Linked DNA regions of Saccharomyces cerevisiae S288C. Changing the gene in region 1 together with any one later gene gives a genetic interaction. Each region holds a gene or a part of one and is shown in the gene's direction. Other genes may lie near its edges. The genes, in order: LCB5, RAX1, CPR7 and ERG13.

Region 1 (5,303 bases):
TTTGTTCAGTTATCAACATATAGTCATACTTAAAGATATAATAGCTCATAGTCATATATAGTTCTTTATACTTGAAAAAGTGATTCCTAAAAATCTCAACTTTTTTCACATTGTATTTACAAGATAATAAAATTATTACCATATTTAAACGAAAGATAAATTTTGAATTAAGGCGGTCGTTACATCATACCTGGCATTCCTGGCATACCACCTGGCATACCACCAGCGCCAGCAGCTGCTGGTGGTTCTGGGGCATCAACAATAGCAACTTCGGTAGTAGCTAATAGTGAGGCAACACCAGAAGCATCAACTAAACCGGATCTAACCACTTTAAATGGATCGATGATACCAGTGGCTAACATGTCGGTGTATTCTGACTTAGAGGCATCGTAACCCTTGGCAAAATCATCACCATATTCATCAATCAATTTGCCGATGATAACTGAACCTTCTTCACCAGCGTTTTCAATGATCTGCTTGGCTGGTCTTGTAATGGCCTTTCTTATGATATCGACACCCAATTTTTGATCGAAATTGTCGACAACAACTTCATCCAAAACTCTAGATGCCTTCACTAAGGCAGTACCACCACCTGGCAAGATACCTTCCTCAACTGCAGCTCTGGTAGCGTTCAAAGCATCATCGTAACGGTCCTTCTTTTCACCAACTTCAACTTCAGATGCACCACCGACCCTGATGACAGCAACACCCCCGGACAATTTGGCCAAACGCTCTTGCAGTTTCTCCTTCTCATATGAATTTGTGGTGGTAATGTCGATGGAGCCTTTGATTTGTTCAATTCTCTCTTGAATAGCTTCCTTTGGACCACTACCGTTCAGGATAACGGTGTCTTCCTTAGTAACGGTAATAGAGTCACAAGAACCCAAGTTTTCTATGGTACATTGTTCTGGTTTCAAATCCAACTCCTCAGTAAAAACAGTACCGCCCGTCAAGACTGCAATATCACCAATTGTATTCTTTCTATTATCACCGAAACCAGGCGCCTTCACAGCACAAACCTTAACTTGACCCCTCAACTTGTTCAAAATACAAGCCGCAAGAGCTTCACCGTCAACATCTTCAGCAATGATCAACAAAGGTCTTCTGCTTTGATTGGAAATTTCCAAAGCTGGCAAGATATCTTGAATGGAAGAAATTTTCTTTTCACTCAACAATAGCAATGGCTTTTCAAATTCCACCTTGCTCGACTTTGGATCAGTGATGAAGTATGGAGAAATAAAACCACGATCAAACCTCATACCTTCAGTAACCTCAAGTTCATCTTCCAATGTTCTACCTTCTCTGATAGTGATGACACCTTCTTTTCCAACCTTTTCCATAGCTGAAGCTAGTAACTTACCAACATGAGAGTCCCCATTGGCAGAAATGGTTGCTACTTGAGCAATTTCCTCAGATGTGGTAATTTCTTTCTTGTTGGCGCTCAAAAATTCAATCACTTTTTCAACTGCAACTTGAGAACCCCTTCTCAAATCCATAGGGTTACAACCAGCGGCGACATTTTTGACGGATTCTGTGAAGATGGCTCTACCTAAGACAGTAGCAGAAGTAGTACCGTCACCAGCAGCCTCATTGGTTTTGGAGGCAACTTCTTGTAGTAACTTGGCACCCATATTTTCAAACTTGTCCTTCAACACAATAGATTTGGCAACTGTAACACCATCCTTAGTAATCTTTGGAGGACCGAAAGGCTGTTCGATTAAAACGTTTCTACCCTTTGGACCCAAAGTAGCAGCAACCGCTTCAGCTAAAGTTTCGACACCCTTAAGAAGGGAGGCTCTTCCTTCTACACCGAATTTCAATTCTTTATGAGAGGAGTAAGCACGACGCAATAAAGGCCTTAAAGTAGCGCGACTACGAACAACGGATGATCTCAACATTTTGAAAACTTTTTTGCTTATGATGTTTTCTCGTGGGAATTTTCTTATATTATTCAAGGAAGTGCATGAAGACGCAACCACGACCTTACATAATGAATGTAAAACTTAGTCTCCTTCAATATATATACATGAATGTCCGTCTGGATTCTGCTCCGGGCAAAACGAAGCAAAATTAAAGTCACCCTCCCCATTTGGTTTTCTGGAAAATTCCACGAGGTCCGTATATGATGACATATACAGATGGGCGGCTATAAAGTAAGTTTCCAGAGGTAATACCAGGCAATAAACAGCTTCAATTGCTCGTAACACCATTGTATACCTACAAAAACAGTGGAATAGGGATGAGACATAACTGGCTGGAATTTCAACTGTACTTCTTTGCACAACTAGTCTTGGCGTTCTACTTGATCATTGCGCGAATGGATGCACTCGCAATAATTCCCAATAGTATAACAGGAGGAACATTTGGATGCATTAGGTATATTATTCATCTTCTTTATCATCAAAATTTTCTCTTCCTTTATGTTACTATGTTGCTTTCTTTTAATCTATGTTTTTTTCCCTTTCAGTTGCCACCGCTTTTCTGCAAGATTCATAGTTAGATTTGCAAATCAAGGTGTTTTCGGGCCTTGTTAAAGCCTTCGCAGGCGAAGAAGAAAGGGAACGTAAGCTGCGTGAGCCGAATCTATTTATACAAAAACAATCAAAAAAGTATAACTACAGCATAAACTGTTGTATATACGTGTTGCAAAATAGGAAAGAAAAGAAGAGTAAAAGGACTCTTGATATTATCTCGAAAAAACCACAAATAGTGTAAGATTTAAACAGTAAGCCAAAAGAGATGACTTTGAAACCTTCAAAGAGACGTAAGGGCAGGTCTCGCCATTCCAGGAAGAAGCAAATAACGTCAGCGATACTGACTGAGGAAGGAATAATGATCAAGGCAAAACCATCAAGTCCTTACACATACGCAAATAGAATGGCAGATAAACGAAGTCGCAGCAGCATTGACAACATCAGTAGAACTAGCTTTCAAAGCAACATCAGTAGAACTAGCTTTCAAAGCAACAGTGATAACAACAGTATATTTGAAACGGCTTCACTAATTAGCTGTGTTACCTGTTTAAGCGATACTGATACAATAGACAGATCGGAAACATCGACAACGGATACAAGTAAAGATGATCTTTCTGCTAATCCAAAACTTCATTATCCTTCGGTGAATGGTCAATTGCCAGCAAACACCGTTATCCCCTATGGACGAATTCTGGATGCCAGATACATTGAAAAGGAACCTCTGCATTATTATGATGCCAATTCATCACCCAGTTCACCTTTAAGCAGCTCAATGAGTAACATTAGTGAAAAGTGTGATCTTGATGAATTAGAGTCTTCCCAAAAAAAAGAAAGGAAGGGCAACTCGCTATCGCGAGGAAGTAACAGTAGTAGTAGCCTCCTGACTTCCAGATCTCCTTTTACGAAACTAGTAGAGGTTATATTTGCTAGGCCAAGACGGCATGACGTTGTACCCAAAAGGGTTTCATTGTATATTGACTATAAACCCCATTCATCTTCTCACTTAAAAGAAGAAGATGACTTGGTTGAGGAGATTTTAAAGAGAAGCTACAAAAACACTAGAAGGAACAAATCCATATTTGTGATCATTAATCCGTTTGGTGGTAAAGGTAAGGCGAAAAAACTGTTTATGACAAAGGCAAAGCCGTTACTATTAGCAAGTCGGTGTTCCATAGAAGTGGTTTATACAAAATACCCTGGTCATGCTATAGAGATCGCGCGGGAAATGGATATTGACAAATATGACACTATTGCTTGCGCTTCGGGAGATGGCATTCCTCATGAGGTGATCAATGGGTTATACCAAAGGCCTGATCATGTCAAAGCATTCAACAATATCGCCATTACAGAAATTCCATGCGGATCAGGTAACGCAATGAGCGTATCCTGCCACTGGACAAACAATCCTTCGTACTCAACTTTATGCTTAATTAAATCGATAGAGACTAGAATTGATTTGATGTGTTGTTCGCAGCCTTCTTATGCAAGAGAGCACCCAAAGTTATCATTTTTAAGTCAAACATATGGTCTCATTGCAGAAACTGACATAAACACTGAATTTATTAGATGGATGGGACCTGCAAGGTTTGAATTGGGTGTAGCCTTCAATATCATACAAAAAAAAAAATATCCTTGTGAGATATATGTAAAGTATGCTGCCAAATCAAAAAACGAGTTAAAAAATCATTACCTGGAACACAAAAATAAAGGGTCGTTAGAATTCCAGCATATTACTATGAACAAAGATAACGAGGATTGTGATAATTACAATTACGAAAATGAATACGAAACCGAAAACGAAGATGAAGATGAAGATGCGGATGCGGATGACGAAGACTCCCACTTGATATCTCGTGATCTGGCAGATTCTAGTGCTGATCAAATTAAAGAGGAAGATTTCAAAATAAAATATCCATTAGATGAAGGTATCCCTAGTGACTGGGAAAGATTGGATCCTAATATTTCGAACAACCTAGGTATCTTCTATACGGGTAAAATGCCATATGTGGCTGCTGACACTAAATTCTTTCCGGCAGCGCTTCCTTCAGATGGTACAATGGATATGGTTATCACCGATGCAAGAACCTCGTTGACGAGGATGGCACCAATCCTGCTGGGACTAGATAAGGGTTCCCATGTTTTACAACCGGAAGTCTTACACTCTAAAATTTTGGCATACAAGATAATACCAAAGCTAGGGAACGGCTTGTTCTCTGTCGATGGCGAGAAATTTCCTCTAGAGCCCCTTCAAGTCGAAATTATGCCACGCTTATGCAAGACGTTACTGAGAAATGGCCGTTATGTGGACACAGATTTCGATTCTATGTGACACTTTACTTAATCTTTTCCTTCGTACTGAACAATTAATCAAAAACTAGAATATGTCATTTCTATTTCTTCTATATTTTTTTTACGTTGTTGTTGTTTTTGTTGTTGTTTGATAACTTTATACACTCCATACTTCTTTATAAAAAGTTTTAATACCATTCTTTAATACAACCATGTTTAGTGAGTACTAGCTCCTACACATCAGATCGTCAAGTACATTATGATTATGATTATTATTAATATTATCAGTACAATTATTATGTGCTGGTAGTTCACTAAAAAATATGACGCACACAAAGAGTTCTCCTTATGCCCTATAGAACTGAAATATTAGGTGCTAACACTGACAAGCGCTTTGTTCCTGCTCCTCTGCTGTAGAAATATCAATGACTCCCGGTTTATTTTGGTTTGCACTATTTGCATTTTCGCTATCCAAAGGAGTTGACTCGCTGTTTTGAAATTCAGGCAGCGATTTGGCAATCTTTTTGAATAAAGCTTTGA
Region 2 (8,068 bases), on another chromosome or scaffold:
TGAGATAGTTAAGCTGACTCGTAATGTTAGCAGGGCGGAAATAATGTTGAAGAATCTGGCTACCGACAACCCTGAGGCGATCATAATACTAATCAAGATCTTTTTGGTGTGTGATCAAGAATTAGACGCAATAAAGCTCACATACGATATGCTTTCGCAGGATAAAATAATAAACAACACTAATAACCGCATGGATTATAAATCTGAATTACTGTGCTTACAAGCGCAATTTTTGATAGACAAAAGGCAGGATTACAGCTTGGCGCAAAACATAGCGCAAGAGGCAGTCAATTGTTCTCCCAGTGAATTTAGACCTTGGTATCTTTTATCCAAGGTGTATGTAAAGCTAAATGATATTGAAAATGCCTTACTGATACTGAATTCATGCCCTATGTCTCCATTAAAGGAAAAATACGTACTGAAAAGAGTAGCTCCGTTGCCTTCGAATAATAGTCTTCATTTGCCATTGCCAATTGACGTTGTACTGGATGAAGTGACGTCGTTGAATCCACAAGACGTTCAGAATGAACACCGCTCTGCGGATCCAATGCTGGTCAATTTAGCTGCGTCGAACTTGAAATCTACTTTCCAATTGGCATACCGATTATTGACAGAAATTGTGCAGATCACCGGCTGGGAAAATCTGTTAAAGTACAGATCAAACATTTTCGTTATGGAAGAAGAGTACCAAAAATCATCATCTTCGTTACCAAAGGACGTTAACAAACAAGAAGAACAGCCTCTGAGGGCTAAACGGCTGTGTGAACGATGGTTAGACAACCTCTTCATGCTTTTATATGAAGACCTGAAGATGTATACATTATGGCAAACCGAACAACTGTACATGGATGCACAGAATAACAACCACAATAAGTTGACTTTCGAATGGGAGTTATTTGGCCTTTGTGCACGTCGACTGGGCCATTTCCCTGAGGCCGCCAAGGCCTTCCAGAACGGTTTATCGCAGAGATTTTCATCAAGGTGCGCGAGGAAACTGCTGGAATATTGTATAAACGAACGCCAACGGGTCAAAAATTTTATAAACTCACCTAATTCGCATGACATGGTCCCTGAAATAGTAAGCTCACGCATAAGAGAGCTAGACAATAGCATTATCGACCTTTGCGTGAAGATATGCTGCTGGAACCACCGTTGGTATACGGAATTTTCCATAAGTTTACTTGATTGTTTAAGTGTGGTTATTCAAGATATGAGTCTGACCAAAGTTTCGAATGAAATCTCGTCAAGATATCCAGAAACTGTTCTCAACTTGGTGCAGGAGAATTTGCTCAATTTCTTCACTACTTGCACCATTGGATGCTACGATGCATAAATACGATAAAAAGACATTAATACGTATATATAATCCAAAAAAAATTGGCGATACGCTTCAACGTTGTGTCAAACTCTTGGGTCACTTTAAAGAAAACCCAGCATACATTAATACAGAGCAATGCTGGTTATGTAACTTCGCCGCCCGCCGCCATTCGAGGAAAAATATTCGTGTTTCGAGAATGCGGGCAAAACGAAAATATCAATAAAACACATACGGGAAATTCATTGTGCACAACGACCTCTAACAATTTCTGCCAAAAAGAAAGTTCAAGAGCGTCCCATTCATCATGAAGGAAGAGCTCAGCAAAGTGAGCAGTATGCAAAATTTCGAGATGATCCAGCGTGAACGATTGCCAACATTGTATGAAGTGTTAATACAGAGGACATCGCAGCCAGTTGATCTCTGGACTTTTTATACATTTCTTTCACAATTCCCATATGCCATCAACTATCTGGACTTTTGGGTTGACCTTATGACACATACACGACTTTGCAAAAACTACATAGAGTTGGTAAGAAAATCATTAATCAACTTTCCACAAGAACAACAGCAGAATGGAAGTACATCTACGGCTACATTTGACTTGCTGAACGCACTGATAGAAGAAGGGCACCTAGACCCGGAAGCACCTGATAAACTCTTAGAAAATAGCGGCCCAGACGTGCCCTTTTCACCAAAATTAAACGAATTGCTGGGTGATTGGAAGCACCAATCGGGTATCGGTCAAGAAGCCCTGAGAAACGAAGACGTAGCGCTGATCGTCGACGAGATAATGAAAAGGCGCTCCCAACAAGACGGAAAACCGCAGATAACTACAAAACAACTGCTGCACAGCGCAGTTGGTCTCTGCAACACCTATTTAGTATCGCCCGAACAAAGCGAACGGTACCTGAGCAACATCCCCATGGAAACGCGGAACCGCATAATAGAAAGCGTACAAATCGAGCGAAAGTACGACATTGAGATTTTTGACGACCTAAAAAACCTAACTTACCAATTCCTAGAAATGGATTGTTTCCCAAAATTTCTAAGCCGCGTCGCACTACACAACATCCACGATGAAATATCTGATTGGAGATTCCACTCAGTGGGCGTCACCAACGAAAAAAGCAATCGCTCTCGAGGCCAGACGCACATTTCTCGCTCGCCATTCTCCAATCACACGTCAATCAGTCGTATTGGCTTTGGTTTGCTCTGGCTAGGCATCGGCTTTTGGATCGGATATGTTCTAATCTTCCTGGCGTATAGTCGCGCAATCCGTGTCGTTACGGTCGTGCCATTTACACTGGGATGCTACTGCATTGTGTGTGGCATGTATCAAGTGGACATTGTGTATTCCTGGTTTGGCGTCACACAGAGACTTCTCCACAGACACAAAAACGCTGGCAATGACGAAGGAGATGCTTCTAGTGATACCGATCACGTGCCAATGATACTTGCGGTGTTCGGCGGTAGGCGCCGTCTTACCCGCATAGAGCACCCATTTACTCGGCAGCTTCTACGTAAGCGTGGACTGTGGTGTCTGCTTCTCGTAGTGGGTGCCACTGCCGCATTCACAGTTATTTTCAGCTGTGTTCCCGGCCGTCGTGTATGATGTAATCCATCACCCCCCTATAAAAACACCTGTGCACCGCATATTTCCATAGCGCGTGACGCTAAGTACAAGAAACAGCGAGGGGCCGTTAAGTGCAGGCTTTACCGAGGGCGCCGGCTGGCGCTTCCCGTGGAAGGGTGTTTGACTCATCATCGCATCGCATTACCTCATGATGAGTAAATAGTTGCGATTTCACTTATCACCTCTCGCGGAAAAAAAAGGCGATGACATGATATATAAGGCTCTCTCGTAAGACACTTAACTATCCAACGTTCATTAGATTATTCGGTCAATTTCTTTTTTCATGCCCCTCCTTTTTCTTTTCTTTTCTTGACTCGTCGTTTCTTTTTCTTTTTTTTTTTTTTTTTTTTCTTCAGAACTATAACACATAGATACACTCGAACATCTAATTGTTTAAATACTGCAAAGAATACAAGGTAATCGACTCTTCTACATACCCTTTTTGCAGATTTGAAATAAAAAAAACATTATATGTTTAGCTTATCGAACTCTCAATACACCTGCCAAGACTACATATCTGACCACATCTGGAAAACTAGCTCCCACTAATTTCATTGCTTAATAATCAGAAATTCTATCACAAACCACTCCTAAAAATATTTCAAATGTCCTCCGCTGCAACAAAAGCTACTTTCTGTATCCAAAATGGTCCTTCCTTTGAAGGTATATCTTTTGGTGCAAACAAATCTGTTGCTGGTGAAACAGTTTTCACTACTTCTCTGGTTGGTTACCCAGAGTCCATGACTGATCCTTCCTACCGTGGTCAGATATTAGTCTTCACGCAACCCTTGATTGGTAACTACGGTGTCCCATCCGGCGAAGCCCGCGATGAATACAATTTACTGAAGTATTTTGAATCTCCGCATATACATGTGGTCGGCATCGTTGTCGCTGAATATGCTTATCAATATTCGCATTGGACCGCTGTTGAATCTCTGGCACAATGGTGTCAGAGAGAAGGTGTTGCTGCTATTACTGGCGTAGACACCCGTGAACTAGTGCAATACTTGAGGGAACAAGGTTCTTCTTTGGGCCGTATTACGTTGGCTGATCATGACCCTGTCCCCTACGTGAATCCCATGAAAACTAACTTGGTTGCTCAAGTCACCACAAAAAAGCCTTTCCACGTCTCTGCCTTACCTGGGAAGGCTAAGGCAAATGTGGCTCTTATTGACTGTGGTGTTAAAGAAAACATTATCAGATGCCTAGTCAAAAGAGGTGCCAATGTAACTGTTTTCCCCTATGATTACAGAATTCAAGATGTTGCTTCTGAATTCGACGGTATTTTCTTATCCAATGGACCAGGCAACCCAGAACTATGCCAAGCTACAATTTCCAACGTCAGGGAATTACTAAATAACCCTGTTTATGACTGTATCCCTATTTTTGGGATTTGTCTAGGCCATCAACTCTTGGCTCTGGCCTCCGGTGCCTCTACTCACAAATTGAAATATGGTAATAGGGCTCACAACATCCCTGCCATGGATTTGACTACCGGCCAGTGCCACATTACATCTCAAAATCATGGCTATGCAGTTGATCCTGAGACCCTACCAAAGGACCAATGGAAACCTTATTTTGTTAATTTAAACGACAAATCAAACGAAGGCATGATACACCTTCAAAGACCCATATTTTCTACCCAATTTCACCCAGAGGCAAAAGGTGGTCCCTTAGACACAGCTATTCTTTTTGACAAATTCTTCGATAATATAGAAAAATACCAATTACAATCTCAGGCAAAAAGTTCAATCTCACTAAAAGTAACATACAGTACCGATAAATCGAGATTGCAGAGTATAAATGTTACTAAGTTGGCCAAGGAAAGAGTGTTGTTCTAAAAACAAAATTTATACATTACGTAACACATACGTACATCTAAATACGATTCAATTCAGTTCATGGTATTTTGCGCTACTCGTCGTTGCTTAGTATCTACTCGCAGTTGTCATAATTAACGGGCGCTTCTTGTAATTAAATGAACAAAAAAACGTAACGTACGTACAATGGCTCTAATTTCATCCTGCCATCCTAAAAAAAAAATCAAATAAAGCAGACTCAAAAATTTTCAGCTTCAGTTAAATTTTGATAAGTATATTTGCATAACTCAAGGAGTTTGTGCAAACGGTTTTCTTTCTTTGTGGTTTGTTTTATTTACTTTCCAATAATACCCGTCTTGTTGGTTTAAGTCGTAACAAAAGGAAAACTTACAATCAGATCATGACGACCCAGCAAGAGGAGCAACGAAGTGATACCAAGAATAGCAAAAGCGAGTCACCTTCAGAAGTTTTAGTCGATACTCTCGACTCAAAGTCAAATGGCAGTAGTGATGATGATAATATCGGACAAAGTGAAGAGCTATCAGATAAAGAAATATATACAGTAGAAGATAGACCACCAGAATATTGGGCTCAAAGAAAGAAAAAATTCGTACTTGATGTAGATCCAAAATACGCCAAGCAAAAGGACAAGTCCGATACGTACAAAAGATTCAAATATTTATTAGGCGTCACAGACCTTTTCCGTCATTTTATTGGAATTAAGGCAAAACATGATAAAAATATTCAAAAACTCTTAAAACAGTTAGATTCTGATGCAAACAAACTTTCCAAATCACACAGCACCGTCAGTTCGTCATCACGTCACCATAGAAAAACAGAAAAGGAGGAAGATGCTGAATTAATGGCTGATGAGGAAGAAGAGATTGTAGATACATATCAGGAAGACATATTCGTCTCAGAATCTCCCTCCTTCGTCAAGTCAGGAAAATTAAGAGACTATCAAGTTCAAGGCTTAAACTGGTTAATATCGTTGCACGAAAACAAACTATCTGGTATCTTGGCCGATGAAATGGGGCTGGGTAAAACCTTACAAACAATTTCATTCCTAGGTTATTTGAGATACGTCAAACAAATCGAGGGACCCTTTCTAATAATAGTACCGAAGTCAACACTAGATAATTGGAGACGAGAGTTTCTTAAATGGACTCCAAACGTCAATGTCCTTGTGTTACATGGTGATAAAGACACAAGAGCTGATATAGTACGGAATATAATATTAGAAGCTAGATTTGATGTATTGATTACATCTTATGAAATGGTCATTAGAGAAAAGAATGCTTTGAAAAGATTAGCTTGGCAATATATTGTTATTGATGAGGCTCACAGGATCAAAAATGAACAAAGCGCGTTATCTCAAATAATTAGATTATTTTACTCTAAGAATAGATTATTGATTACGGGCACGCCTCTACAAAACAATCTACACGAATTATGGGCCCTGCTAAATTTCTTATTACCTGATATATTTGGAGATTCTGAACTTTTTGATGAATGGTTCGAACAAAACAATTCGGAACAAGATCAAGAAATTGTAATCCAACAGCTACACTCAGTACTAAACCCCTTTTTACTGAGAAGAGTCAAAGCGGATGTCGAAAAATCTTTGCTACCTAAAATCGAAACGAATGTTTACGTGGGGATGACAGACATGCAAATACAATGGTATAAATCATTATTAGAGAAGGATATAGACGCTGTTAACGGTGCTGTTGGAAAAAGAGAAGGCAAAACGAGGTTACTGAATATTGTTATGCAATTAAGGAAATGCTGTAATCATCCATATCTTTTTGAAGGCGCAGAACCTGGACCTCCATACACTACCGATGAACATTTGATTTTCAATTCCGGGAAAATGATTATATTAGATAAGTTACTGAAAAGACTGAAGGAAAAGGGATCTAGAGTATTGATTTTCAGTCAAATGTCGAGACTATTGGATATCTTAGAAGATTATTGCTATTTTAGAGATTTTGAATATTGCAGAATCGACGGTTCTACTAGCCATGAAGAACGTATAGAAGCTATCGATGAGTATAATAAACCTAATTCTGAAAAGTTCGTTTTTTTGCTAACAACACGTGCCGGTGGTTTAGGTATTAACCTTGTCACAGCCGACACTGTTATTCTTTTTGATTCTGATTGGAACCCTCAAGCTGATCTACAAGCAATGGATAGAGCGCATAGAATTGGTCAAAAGAAACAAGTTCATGTTTATAGATTTGTCACAGAAAATGCTATTGAAGAGAAAGTCATTGAGCGTGCCGCACAAAAGCTGAGACTAGACCAGTTGGTTATCCAACAGGGCACGGGCAAGAAAACTGCATCTCTTGGTAACTCAAAGGATGATCTGTTGGATATGATTCAATTTGGCGCTAAAAATATGTTTGAAAAGAAAGCAAGTAAAGTCACTGTTGATGCTGATATCGATGATATTTTGAAAAAGGGGGAACAGAAGACACAAGAACTAAATGCCAAATACCAAAGTTTAGGACTTGACGACTTACAAAAGTTCAATGGGATCGAGAACCAATCTGCTTACGAATGGAATGGTAAAAGCTTTCAAAAAAAATCCAACGACAAAGTAGTTGAATGGATTAATCCTTCCCGAAGAGAAAGAAGAAGAGAGCAAACCACTTATTCAGTTGACGATTATTATAAGGAAATTATTGGTGGTGGCTCTAAATCAGCAAGCAAGCAAACTCCGCAGCCAAAAGCACCCCGCGCTCCAAAGGTTATACACGGTCAAGATTTCCAGTTCTTCCCCAAGGAGTTGGATGCCTTACAAGAAAAGGAACAGCTTTACTTCAAGAAAAAGGTCAACTATAAGGTTACTTCTTATGATATTACGGGAGATATACGTAATGAAGGAAGCGATGCTGAAGAAGAAGAAGGAGAATACAAAAATGCCGCTAATACAGAAGGTCATAAAGGCCATGAGGAACTTAAAAGAAGGATTGAGGAGGAGCAAGAGAAGATTAATTCAGCACCGGATTTTACCCAAGAAGATGAATTACGAAAGCAAGAATTGATATCAAAAGCCTTTACTAACTGGAATAAGAGGGACTTTATGGCGTTTATCAACGCCTGCGCCAAATACGGTAGAGATGATATGGAAAACATTAAGAAATCTATTGATTCCAAAACACCAGAAGAGGTTGAAGTGTATGCAAAAATATTCTGGGAAAGACTAAAGGAAATCAATGGGTGGGAGAAGTATTTACATAATGTAGAACTTGGTGAAAAAAAAAATGAAAAACTGAAATTCCAGGAAACTCT
Region 3 (8,255 bases), on another chromosome or scaffold:
CAAAATTTTACATTTTTGAGAGCCCGCTCATTGTATTTTACGTCATTGAGATGTGTAAACAGATCATTTATTACTTGCTTCCCCCATTCACTTTCATAATATTTAGTATTGAAGATTTCATTTTTTACCAAAAAGTCGTGTTCTATTAAATCACTTAAAATGTCCCGTGGATTATCAAATCTCGAAACCAAAAACATTTTATACGAGGCAAGTCTTGCAATAGCCTCCTTGGAAAGGCCATCTAAATTCGAAATATTAATCATATGATCAGCAATTAGTGCTCCAAATTCTTGTCCATAAGAAGCCTCTGATATTAATATAATGGATATTTCCAACAAAAAGAGAAGTTCTTGTTCGAAATAGGGCGAATTTTCACTCGTTTTTTCAATCACAAGTGAAGAGAGAAGAGTTTCAATCATCTTAGGACTGACGAGTTGATTGTTCTCAAAGACTGAACTGAGAGGATGGCTAGCCTTAACGCACTCAAATGCTTTAATGGAAAAATCGATGTCTTCTTCCGAAGGTTCTTCATCGCCTTTCAAGTAAGAGGCGAAAGTAGACAGAAGGCTTCTGCTCATCTTTGCCTTGCGGATCGATATATCTGGATCTGGCAATGGTAGTTCAGGAAGTTTCAAGAGTGAATGAAAGTTTGTAAAAAATGGTAAATTAGGTTCCATCAATAAATTCTCGAATAATTTCAAAATGAGTTGCACAATCTGGTTCCATAGTCTGGTAGAAACAATGCTAGGATCACTTATTTCTTTAATGATTTGAAAGTACAATACGGTACATAACTGAGCCTTAAAGTTTTGTCCAAGTCTTATACTCTGGTTACTAACGGATATCTTCGACCCAGTGTCTTCGACGAATATCTCGACCAAAGGAATACTGTCAACATCTAGCTCCACCGCTTTTGCGCTACTTTGTGCCAATGTTGTCATTTCTCCCAGATGAAGTACAGTATCATTATATGACTGGTCAAAAGAAAAGTAATAGTTGATAAATGTACACTTACTAATGGCGTCCAAGATACGTAATGATATTTGATCACTGGAAGCAACTGTGAATATTTTGAATAAAGTCTTCAGGATAATATCTCTAACATTTGAGAAAATTGCTTTCTCATACTGAAGTATGTCTATTTGCGCTAACTTAGAAATAGGGTTTGTGAAATCTCTTTGCATCTCTGTCATCACAGATGTTGAGGATATTAAGTTATTCCAGGCATCTTCAAACCACCTTTCATTTCCATGATGTTCTTCAGGCATTACTATTTCCTTAACTTTGATGGACGTGTAAATTTTATGCAAATACCAACGAGGAAAATCTTTTCCATTGTAGCATCCTCGTAAATTGTTAGAGTAGTCATCAAAAGTCATATGGTCTTTAACCTGCGGGTTATGTGAATCGGTATTTAACATGATTATCGAATAACTTAACACAAACACAGAGTCTGCATCAGGCTGTACATGAATGATGTCATCTTCTGTCATTGACTCTGAGCCATTTTTTCCTGCTTTTTTATCCTCTAACTCCACTTTATCATTGCTTTGATCAGCAGAATATTTTGATGAAAATGCTTCAACGATTCTTTCAATCTGTTGAGATTCCCCTGGTAATCTGAATTTCGTCAGCAAAATTCTGATCGCTTCATCAACCCTTAACCCTTTAAAATCGAATAGATCTATAAATTCTTTTAACAATGAAGTTTTTTTCGGATCACAAAGTAATAGACCGATGGTTTTCTTATTTAAACGTCCGTTATTGAGAAACAAAAATGAAGCAATGTCTCTATTAGAATCCGAATCAATGAATCCTTTTTCAATTAACATTTGAATGCCTTTCTTTGCCTTTTCATTAAATGTTTCAACGCATAATATGAATTCAGTCTTTCTGTCTCTCTGTTTCAAAATATCAATTTCTTTCTGATTTTTTACGAATTCTGCCCTATCAAATCTCTGCAGATCATTGTATATATTTTCAATAAGCGAAAGTACACCTTCTAGGCAAATTGGAGGAATGTTGTTAGAGGTATTAACGGCCGCCGCTGGTAAAGAAAATTTAGTTAGCTCTTTTATAAAGTCAATCGAAAGATCCGACCTATCCAAATTACAATCGAAATTTACAAAAAGTTGCAAAAAGAAAGCGGGAGAGTGAATCCACAGTATTGAAAGTTGTTCAATAATTAATTCCCTGATTGCAGGTGGTTTTTGCTTACTAACGTCACCACTGATTGTGGTATCCTCTAGAATTTCGAATATTCTCCTTAAAGTCAGTTCAATCTGCATAGGCAAATAATCACCCAATATCACAACCAAACTCGTGAATAATTGTAAAGTTGCTTGCAAAAGAGAATACTGGGTAGAACTTTGTATAATGAATAAAACACTTTTAAATATTGGATCAGAAATTAAGCTGAATAACCGGGGATATAGAGGAAATTTGTCACCGGATATTTCAATGGCTGCATTGATTAACTGTAGAGATAATTTCATGGCCGAAGTTGTGTGCTTCATTCTATTCTCTGGCATAACCAGTGATAACAATAATCCAAGATAATCCTTTATAACTGTTATTCCGTAATTTGGCTCGACATTTTCGGCTTTCTCAGCCGTTTCCTCATCATTTTCCTGTTCCCTTATGACCTGTTGGACTGGCTTCTCATTTTTATTATCGTCTGCAACAGCACTGTCATCATCAGTGCTACTCAAATCGTTATCAGAGGTAGTCGTACCTATAATGTCATCCTTCAAATTATTGTCGGTGTAACTTTCATCATTGATATATTTTTCTGTTTTTGTAGGTGGATCTAGTAACTTCAACTTTGTAAATAGTTTAACGGTTATCCCTGCAATTGTAACTTCAGCCGTTTTCCTCAAAACCTCGCTTCTCTGCGTATTACATGCCAAGGAAAGTGTCGTTTGTAAAACATCGTAGATTATAGTATCGGAGAGATAGTCTCCAAAGGAAGAGGTTATAATATCGCGTAGTAATGTTACAACTTTTAATAAAACAGAGTCGTCCGAAATTTGCTTTGAAGCTTCAAATCTACAATGTGTAAGCGCAACAACGGTTTCCCTAACGGCAATTTGAATATCATTAAATGTTTTGTTTATGATTTTTAGTGTAAAAACTTTCTGCAACGAGTCCAGAGCCAGAGAAGTAGTATAACCCGATACTGAACTAGCGCTGACTATTTCTAAAAATGGTTTCAAAAGTTCCAAGGCGTTTAATGAATCTAAACCCTTCAAGTCGTTAATTTTTAGCCGCAGCTGTACTAAACCAGATATCAGAGGATCATGATAGCTAGAAGTAGGCAAATTGTGGAAGCTGTCAACAAACGAATCACTTTGACTCAAGAATATATCACTACCTCCGCCCAGCAACGCGGCCACACTTGTTTGTGATTTATCTCTGGACTGCTTGTTCATGGCAGAACAAAGATTGATGCACTCTTTGACAATCATCGTAGCTGGGTTCACGGCCAAAACAGTTTCCATTGGCACGTCGTGCATTTTGTATATGAAGCCGTATTAGTTAAACCTGGGCGCTTCTTACCAAAGTTGCGAATTAACTTAACTAAGATGGTTCAATTCTCTGTGTAAAGTATCCATATTAAAAGGTCTTAGTTCCAACATGTAAACAAAGAGATCTATATATTGTTTTTTTTCCAATGCGCTGAGTGATGAAGTGATTAGAAAATCATAAAAATGAGAAACTGCAAAGAAAAAAAAAGTCGTTATTCTGAAAGGTGTTCGGCAGCAACAACCTACATCCAACGCGATGATTCAAGATCCCCTTGTATATTTAGACATCTCCATTGATAAAAAACCAATTGGTCGTATTGTCTGCAAACTTTTTCGTGAGAAGGCTCCTAAAACAACAGAGAATTTTTATAAGTTATGCGCTGGTGATGTTAAGAGTCCTTTGAAGGATCAACAGTACCTGAGCTATAAGGGAAATGGTTTTCATAGAGTCGTTAAGAATTTTATGATCCAGGCAGGTGACATTGTCTTTGGGACACAAAAGGATTCCTCTTCATCGTCTGTTGGAAAAGGTGGATGTTCAATTTACGCTGATAAAGAGGAAGTGAAAACCGATGATGAATCTTTCTGTTACGGGAATTTTGAAGACGAAAACTTGGGAGAGTTTGTAGAACCCTTTACCTTAGGTATGGCCAATTTAGGTTCTCCAAATACGAACAATTCCCAGTTTTTCATAACTACATACGCCGCACCTCATTTGAACGGCAAGCATTCTATTTTTGGGCAGGTGGTTCATGGAAAATCAGTGGTTCGCACTATAGAAAACTGCAGGGTAGATTCTGATGGAGTCCCTGAATCAGACGTTAGAATCAGCGACTGTGGAGTGTGGGAAAAAACTATGGGTGTCCCGCTTTACAACGCTTCTAATGACCAAATTGGCGGTGACGTATACGAAGAATATCCAGACGATGATACACATTTCGGTGACGATGATTTTGGTAAGGCTCTTGAGGCTGCTAATATAATCAAAGAATCTGGGACGCTCTTATTTAAGAAAAAGGATTACTCTAATGCCTTTTTCAAATACAGAAAATCTTTAAATTATATCAATGAATACATGCCTGAACCCGACGTAGACAAAGAAAGAAACATCCAATTTATTAACCTAAAGATGAAAATTTACCTAAATTTATCTTTGGTGCTCTTTAATCTGGAAAGATACGATGATGCTATCATGTATGCTACGTATTTATTGGAGATGGATAACGTTCCTAACAGAGATCAAGCAAAGGCTTATTATAGAAGAGGTAACAGTTACTTAAAAAAAAAGAGACTAGACGAAGCTTTACAAGATTATATTTTTTGTAAAGAGAAAAATCCCGATGACGAAGTTATAGAACAAAGAATAGAATATGTCAATAGGCTCATAGAAGAGAATAAGGAAAAGACAAGAAAGAATATATCAAAGTTTTTCTCCTAATTAGTTACTTGTAAGGCTGAAATTTGAGATTAAATAACCCAATATGAAAACACTACATTAATAAGATGTAATTATTTTTATTTATAAATCCATTTATTTGATAAAAAATATGATATCATACAAAGTCATCTAGTAAGTTCTTGGTAATAGCAGATTTTTTTGGCTTCTGTGGCTTTTGTGATGAAAGATCATCTAATATGTCCTTAGAGAGTTTATCTTTCCTATTTTCTGAGTTGTCTGTTTCACCCACAGAGTCGTTTGGCGCTTTTGGAGTTAAATTCTCTTTATGCTGAGAATATGAAGGAGAGACGAACTCATCCAGTATACTTCTAGGTGCAGAAGAAGAACTTTGAGCGAGGGAATTTGAAGAAGTGCTATTTGGTGGTGGTTGCAAGAAGTCGTCTAATAAGCTATTTGGTAACTTTGGATTAGGTGACTCTATATCTGAAGCACTTGGCGAGCCAAACTTATCAAAAAGACTGGGCCTCATCCTAGCAGTAGAAATTGGTTCAGACGCCATGGCGCCAATAGCAGAATATGCTCTATCCTTGGTGGGGCTCTTTAATAGCTTCTGAACTGGTATGGAATTTCTTTCGATGAACTTCCAATTCTTCACAAGTGAAACCGCCAGGTAATTGCAACCCATTCGGCAAAGAATATCAGTAACTCTTAAGATCAGAGTACACTCGATTTTTGCTTCAACATTTAGAGATCCAATGAAATACTTCAAGTTTCTGTTTCTCAGGTGATTGTATAGATAGAGCAAAGCAGGGTCTTCAACAAGGAATGATCTGTTAACACAGACTTCCTTATCAACAATGCTTGAGTTGTTTTCTAAATCAATCGGAGCAGTCAGCAAAGCTTTAATAGCCACTTCCTGCTTTCTCAATTTCCAGTAAATGAAACTTGCTTTCCATCTATCATTCTCCTTTATTGTTTCAGGTAGCATTTGCGCTGTCAATAGCTCTCCCAACACGGGTCCATTATCACCTTCATAAACACGACATACACCGATTGCCAAATCCATATCATGCACTTGCTTGCAAAGAACGTTGACACAATCTTTTAGAGAGTCAGTTAAGAGAAAGAAAACTGCTGCATCCATATATCTATGCTTACTTAGCAGAACAAAAGCATTTTTGAGTGCTGCCGTTCTCCACCTCGGTACAGTGAAATCATTACTGATAAATCTAACCATCTTTTGCTGCTCAGGATGACCAATAGCCATCTTCCACAAGCTCAATAGTATCTGTTTTTTCTTCAACGCAAGATAAAAAATAGCACAACGGCTTGGATCCCTCTTATCATCTTTGGAAAATTCATATTTTGCAATATCCTCGAATTTCTTCACCAAGTCCTGCTCCTTAATCCAATAGGCTATTCTATATTCTCGAGCGCGATTCCATGAGGTTATGTGGCGGTCAATAGAAGATAATAATATTTCTTTATTGTCTGAGTGCAATGCCCAAGACACATCCCTCATCAATATGCTTTTTTGAATATTTTTATGTGATAAAAATAACTTCACGCCCAACAAGAACCTAACACCGTTGTAATCTACTATATTCTCATTTTTGGTGACTTCATCCACTGCTTCAATGACTGTGATAAGCGTGATCTGCTGGTGGCGGGTTAGATAAGGCAAAGTTGTTTTCGTTAGTTGCTCAGTAAGTGCTAGAGACACTGTCTTATTGAAACAGGGGTATGGATCAGGGAAAGATTCGACCGGATAGTCTCTATCTTTAGCAATAAAGTACTTTAATGGATCCATTCCTAGATTGGAATCCAAATTAGATACATCTTGCGATTCAAAGTCTAATTTTCTTAACGCTAAAAACAATCTTAATAACAGCTCCTTGACAAGTTGTAACTTATTCGCATAAATGGCTTGAATCAAAAATTGTGGATGATAAACTGGAAGTGGACCATTTAAAACACTACTTAAATGGAGAATATCATTTGATAAAATTTTTCTTGAACCAATTGATTGGTACGTAAATGGATCAGTCAAATCCAGAGATTTATCCTTGATGTAAAATTGATTTCCGGAAGCAACAACAAACGTGCCATTTTTCATCCATACGGAGTCACCTATATTATGAGCTGTATGTGCTGTGATATCAATTTTTTCAATAGGTAGGTAACTAGGTGTGTTGTTCGTGTAATCATACCTTAATTGAGTATAAAGTAAAGCGTATCCTGTAAATCCGATAGAGACAATGCTTTGGCCATATTCCGTGCTTGTCCAATCTATATCCTCGATAGGATTATGAAATGTTTCTTCGTATTCAAGAACTCCCCTGTTCAGGTCCCATAGTGACATTACTTTACCAGTAGAATTAACAATACATAACTTACCTGTAGATGATCCTCTAATACATGTACAATTCATTATTCCGGTGTTAATTTCACATGCCTTGATCCATTGGACATGCCTATCATTATAATTAACGATGGCTTTATACGTTCTGGTAAGACCTTTTTTAGTAATCAAAGAAATCAAAGGCCTGTTACTCACAAAAGTTTGATGTACAGGGTCAATAATGGAGATCTTGTATATGTCGTCACCATCGATATCTAATGAATCAGACTTTACTTCAAAAATACCACGTGTTAAAGAGACTTCAAAAGCTTTGATTGAACCATCAGAGAATATTAACGCGGTGAAATGACGCTCATGACTATGCTTTGGCTCAGGTGTATTTAACATAACTATTGGATGGATTTTTTTCTCCTCTTTCAGTCTCGTTTCCACACGTAAATATGATTGCTTCTGTTCACTGTCCTCCTTACGATTCGTTGGACATTCCCAGGCTTGTAAAGCCCCATTTTCGAGAAGACAGATGACCTGTTTACCCAACTCATGTACAACTGCAAATTTTATGGGAGATTCTGTTTGTATTGTATTTTGTAACCGCAGTGAAACCCCATGGTTTAACTTTTGTGGGTACCAAACGCCATTTTCTGAGAATCTCGAAGTGGTTAATAAAGCTTCGCCGTCGCTGCTTCTTACCAACTTCTGCACAGATTTGTTATGTCCCGTAAATTTGTGCTCTAAAGCGGCACTCAGATCTTCGGTTTTATTGTTTATAAGCTGCAGAATGTCGATTAGTAAATGTCTGATTACACCTTGTAAATCGTGGACGAGAAAAGAAAGTTTGCCCTTCACATTGTCATAGGGTTGTATTTCGGGGAGGTACAAATATCTTGTATCGTTTAGCATAGTTGCTTTCTTGACTTTTTTATGGGAAATGGTCTTTTTAGTCATTGGTTTTGGAGGATCTTGGGAA
Region 4 (3,746 bases), on another chromosome or scaffold:
CCAAGTGTGATACCAAGTTCCGAATTAGCCAATGTGGATAGAGCTGTCTGCATGCTATCCAACACCACTGCCATCGCGGACGCTTGGAAGAGAATCGATCAGAAATTCGACCTGATGTATGCCAAACGTGCTTTCGTCCATTGGTATGTCGGTGAAGGTATGGAAGAAGGTGAGTTCACCGAAGCTAGAGAAGATTTAGCTGCCTTAGAAAGAGATTATATTGAAGTGGGTGCCGATTCTTACGCTGAGGAGTTCTAAGAAAGTGGCTCTGATCCCGATACCCACTTATAGATTTATATTTACTTAATGTCCATATGTATATACATATATATATATATATATATATACGCTTATATATATATATGCATATTCTATCCAAATAAAGATACCTCTAATTATCGAATTATTTTTCACTTACCTTTAGGTGTACAGTTAGAACAATAGCTTATTAAATTTATTTTTTTCCCTATGTTCCGCGGAATATTGAAAAATTTGAAAATATTCTAAGACAAAAATACCCATAAAAAACAAAGAGTTTTGAGCTCATCTCGTTGCCACCCAAACTTATCACAAAAAAGGAAGCACTCCAAGAACCGCGTGAAGAAAATGTCAAAAGAAGACATAGAAGGAACTAACATTCTAGACGAACCTGTCCACGGGATCTATATTCCTGCCGCGCTATTCGTTGTTGGTGTTGCAATCACCACGTATATGTCTGGTGAATTGAAAATCCTGTGGAGTTTACCCATTCTCTTCATGATCATCTTCGTCAGAGCATACTCTGCCTACAAAAGAAGAAGATCACTGTATCCAGATAGGTGGACTTCGTTAGAATTGGAAGATCAAACCATAATTTCCAAGAATACCGCCCTGTATCGTTTTAAGTTGAAGACAAGACTGGAAAGCTTGGACATTCCCGCTGGTCATCATGTTGCTGTACGCGTTCCAATTGACGGCAAACAAGAGGTCAGATACTATAATCCGATCAGTTCTAAACTAGAAAGTGGATACTTGGATTTGGTGGTGAAAGCATACGTTGATGGTAAAGTCTCCAAATATTTCGCTGGCTTAAATTCTGGTGACACCGTGGATTTCAAGGGGCCAATAGGTACTTTGAACTACGAACCAAATTCCTCCAAGCATTTAGGTATCGTAGCCGGTGGTTCTGGTATCACGCCAGTCCTACAGATCTTGAATGAAATCATCACCGTTCCTGAAGATTTGACGAAAGTCTCCCTGCTATATGCCAATGAGACTGAAAATGACATTCTATTGAAGGACGAACTGGATGAGATGGCCGAAAAATACCCACATTTCCAGGTCCATTACGTGGTACACTATCCATCCGACAGATGGACCGGAGATGTCGGCTACATCACCAAGGACCAGATGAACAGGTATCTGCCGGAATATTCGGAGGATAACAGACTCTTGATCTGTGGACCTGATGGAATGAACAACTTGGCCCTTCAATACGCTAAAGAACTGGGCTGGAAGGTCAATTCAACGAGAAGTTCTGGCGACGATCAAGTCTTCGTCTTTTAACGGAATAAGCTTCGTATATACAATAGAAAAATTTTCCATACAATATTACATAATACTATAGAGTAATCATACCCACAATCTCCATGGCTGCGGTATCGTGTCGAAAATGAACCGGGCTATTAATTATACGAGTGTGTTGAAAGTAGGCTCCATTCGGCCTCATCGGGCGGAACTGTTTGGGTGCCTCGCCAATTTTCGTAGCCAAATTACTATAAAAGGTGCAGCATGAAACTCTCAACTAAACTTTGTTGGTGTGGTATTAAAGGAAGACTTAGGCCGCAAAAGCAACAACAATTACACAATACAAACTTGCAAATGACTGAACTAAAAAAACAAAAGACCGCTGAACAAAAAACCAGACCTCAAAATGTCGGTATTAAAGGTATCCAAATTTACATCCCAACTCAATGTGTCAACCAATCTGAGCTAGAGAAATTTGATGGCGTTTCTCAAGGTAAATACACAATTGGTCTGGGCCAAACCAACATGTCTTTTGTCAATGACAGAGAAGATATCTACTCGATGTCCCTAACTGTTTTGTCTAAGTTGATCAAGAGTTACAACATCGACACCAACAAAATTGGTAGATTAGAAGTCGGTACTGAAACTCTGATTGACAAGTCCAAGTCTGTCAAGTCTGTCTTGATGCAATTGTTTGGTGAAAACACTGACGTCGAAGGTATTGACACGCTTAATGCCTGTTACGGTGGTACCAACGCGTTGTTCAACTCTTTGAACTGGATTGAATCTAACGCATGGGATGGTAGAGACGCCATTGTAGTTTGCGGTGATATTGCCATCTACGATAAGGGTGCCGCAAGACCAACCGGTGGTGCCGGTACTGTTGCTATGTGGATCGGTCCTGATGCTCCAATTGTATTTGACTCTGTAAGAGCTTCTTACATGGAACACGCCTACGATTTTTACAAGCCAGATTTCACCAGCGAATATCCTTACGTCGATGGTCATTTTTCATTAACTTGTTACGTCAAGGCTCTTGATCAAGTTTACAAGAGTTATTCCAAGAAGGCTATTTCTAAAGGGTTGGTTAGCGATCCCGCTGGTTCGGATGCTTTGAACGTTTTGAAATATTTCGACTACAACGTTTTCCATGTTCCAACCTGTAAATTGGTCACAAAATCATACGGTAGATTACTATATAACGATTTCAGAGCCAATCCTCAATTGTTCCCAGAAGTTGACGCCGAATTAGCTACTCGCGATTATGACGAATCTTTAACCGATAAGAACATTGAAAAAACTTTTGTTAATGTTGCTAAGCCATTCCACAAAGAGAGAGTTGCCCAATCTTTGATTGTTCCAACAAACACAGGTAACATGTACACCGCATCTGTTTATGCCGCCTTTGCATCTCTATTAAACTATGTTGGATCTGACGACTTACAAGGCAAGCGTGTTGGTTTATTTTCTTACGGTTCCGGTTTAGCTGCATCTCTATATTCTTGCAAAATTGTTGGTGACGTCCAACATATTATCAAGGAATTAGATATTACTAACAAATTAGCCAAGAGAATCACCGAAACTCCAAAGGATTACGAAGCTGCCATCGAATTGAGAGAAAATGCCCATTTGAAGAAGAACTTCAAACCTCAAGGTTCCATTGAGCATTTGCAAAGTGGTGTTTACTACTTGACCAACATCGATGACAAATTTAGAAGATCTTACGATGTTAAAAAATAATCTTCCCCCATCGATTGCATCTTGCTGAACCCCCTTCATAAATGCTTTATTTTTTTGGCAGCCTGCTTTTTTTAGCTCTCATTTAATAGAGTAGTTTTTTAATCTATATACTAGGAAAACTCTTTATTTAATAACAATGATATATATATATATTTTTTTTATAAAGAATTGTATATCTATATTTATAACACAATAAATCTAATCTCAACTTTTTTCTTTAAAGTTAAGCCCAACCGATTTTTTTTCTCATTCATAACCCCGACGTGTTTTCCATGTATTCAGACAATGCTAATGTTAAAGGTGGAATATCAGCCAATTTATGTAGAACCAGTGGCCTGATGCGTTGACAAAATGCGGAACCAGCACCATCATCCGTGTCGTTGGATAAAAGGCACAAAAACGTACAGGCCACTTTAGAAACATCTGAGAGTTCTTGAGGGAATTTGACCTCTGGTATGCTGTTTTGTCTTGCAGGTGTAATTTCCTTAGAGTCATTCAAA

Evidence for each region.
Region 2: mutations in LCB5 (region 1) and RAX1 together harm fitness more than expected from each alone (negative genetic interaction), as found in Saccharomyces cerevisiae (2 studies listed by BioGRID).
Region 3: mutations in LCB5 (region 1) and CPR7 together harm fitness more than expected from each alone (negative genetic interaction), as found in Saccharomyces cerevisiae (2 studies listed by BioGRID).
Region 4: mutations in LCB5 (region 1) and ERG13 together harm fitness more than expected from each alone (negative genetic interaction), as found in Saccharomyces cerevisiae (3 studies listed by BioGRID).

The regions. Positions count from the first base shown.
Region 1 is NC_001144.5:663,105-668,407, forward strand, and holds LCB5 (sphinganine kinase LCB5), read left to right. Parts: upstream 1-2,739; coding exon 2,740-4,803; downstream 4,804-5,303. Other genes in the region: chaperone ATPase HSP60, read right to left, coding at 180-1,898; VPS63 (Vps63p), read right to left, coding at 5,133-5,303; Rab family GTPase YPT6, read right to left, coding at 5,140-5,303. UniProt on the Saccharomyces cerevisiae protein: Catalyzes the phosphorylation of the sphingoid long chain bases dihydrosphingosine (DHS or sphinganine) and phytosphingosine (PHS) to form dihydrosphingosine 1-phosphate (DHS-1P) and phytosphingosine 1-phosphate (PHS-1P) respectively.
Region 2 is NC_001147.6:879,343-887,410, forward strand, and holds RAX1 (Rax1p), read left to right. Parts: upstream 1-1,622; coding exon 1,623-2,930; downstream 2,931-8,068. Other genes in the region: BUD7 (exomer complex subunit), read left to right, coding at 1-1,333; YOR302W (uncharacterized protein), read left to right, coding at 3,423-3,500; carbamoyl-phosphate synthase (glutamine-hydrolyzing) CPA1, read left to right, coding at 3,557-4,792; ISW2 (DNA translocase), read left to right, coding at 5,172-8,068. UniProt on the Saccharomyces cerevisiae protein: Required for the establishment of the bipolar budding pattern. Involved in selecting bud sites at both the distal and proximal poles of daughter cells as well as near previously used division sites on mother cells.
Region 3 is NC_001142.9:487,298-495,552, forward strand, and holds CPR7 (peptidylprolyl isomerase CPR7), read left to right. Parts: upstream 1-3,783; coding exon 3,784-4,965; downstream 4,966-8,255. Other genes in the region: Arf family guanine nucleotide exchange factor GEA1, read right to left, coding at 1-3,515; RAV1 (Rav1p), read right to left, coding at 5,081-8,255. UniProt on the Saccharomyces cerevisiae protein: PPIases accelerate the folding of proteins. It catalyzes the cis-trans isomerization of proline imidic peptide bonds in oligopeptides. Plays a major role in negative regulation of the heat shock transcription factor (HSF).
Region 4 is NC_001145.3:18,560-22,305, reverse strand, and holds ERG13 (hydroxymethylglutaryl-CoA synthase), read left to right. Parts: upstream 1-1,770; coding exon 1,771-3,246; downstream 3,247-3,746. Other genes in the region: alpha-tubulin TUB3, read left to right, coding at 1-258; PGA3 (cytochrome-b5 reductase), read left to right, coding at 607-1,545; RSC9 (Rsc9p), read right to left, coding at 3,497-3,746. UniProt on the Saccharomyces cerevisiae protein: Hydroxymethylglutaryl-CoA synthase; part of the first module of ergosterol biosynthesis pathway that includes the early steps of the pathway, conserved across all eukaryotes, and which results in the formation of mevalonate from acetyl-coenzyme A (acetyl-CoA).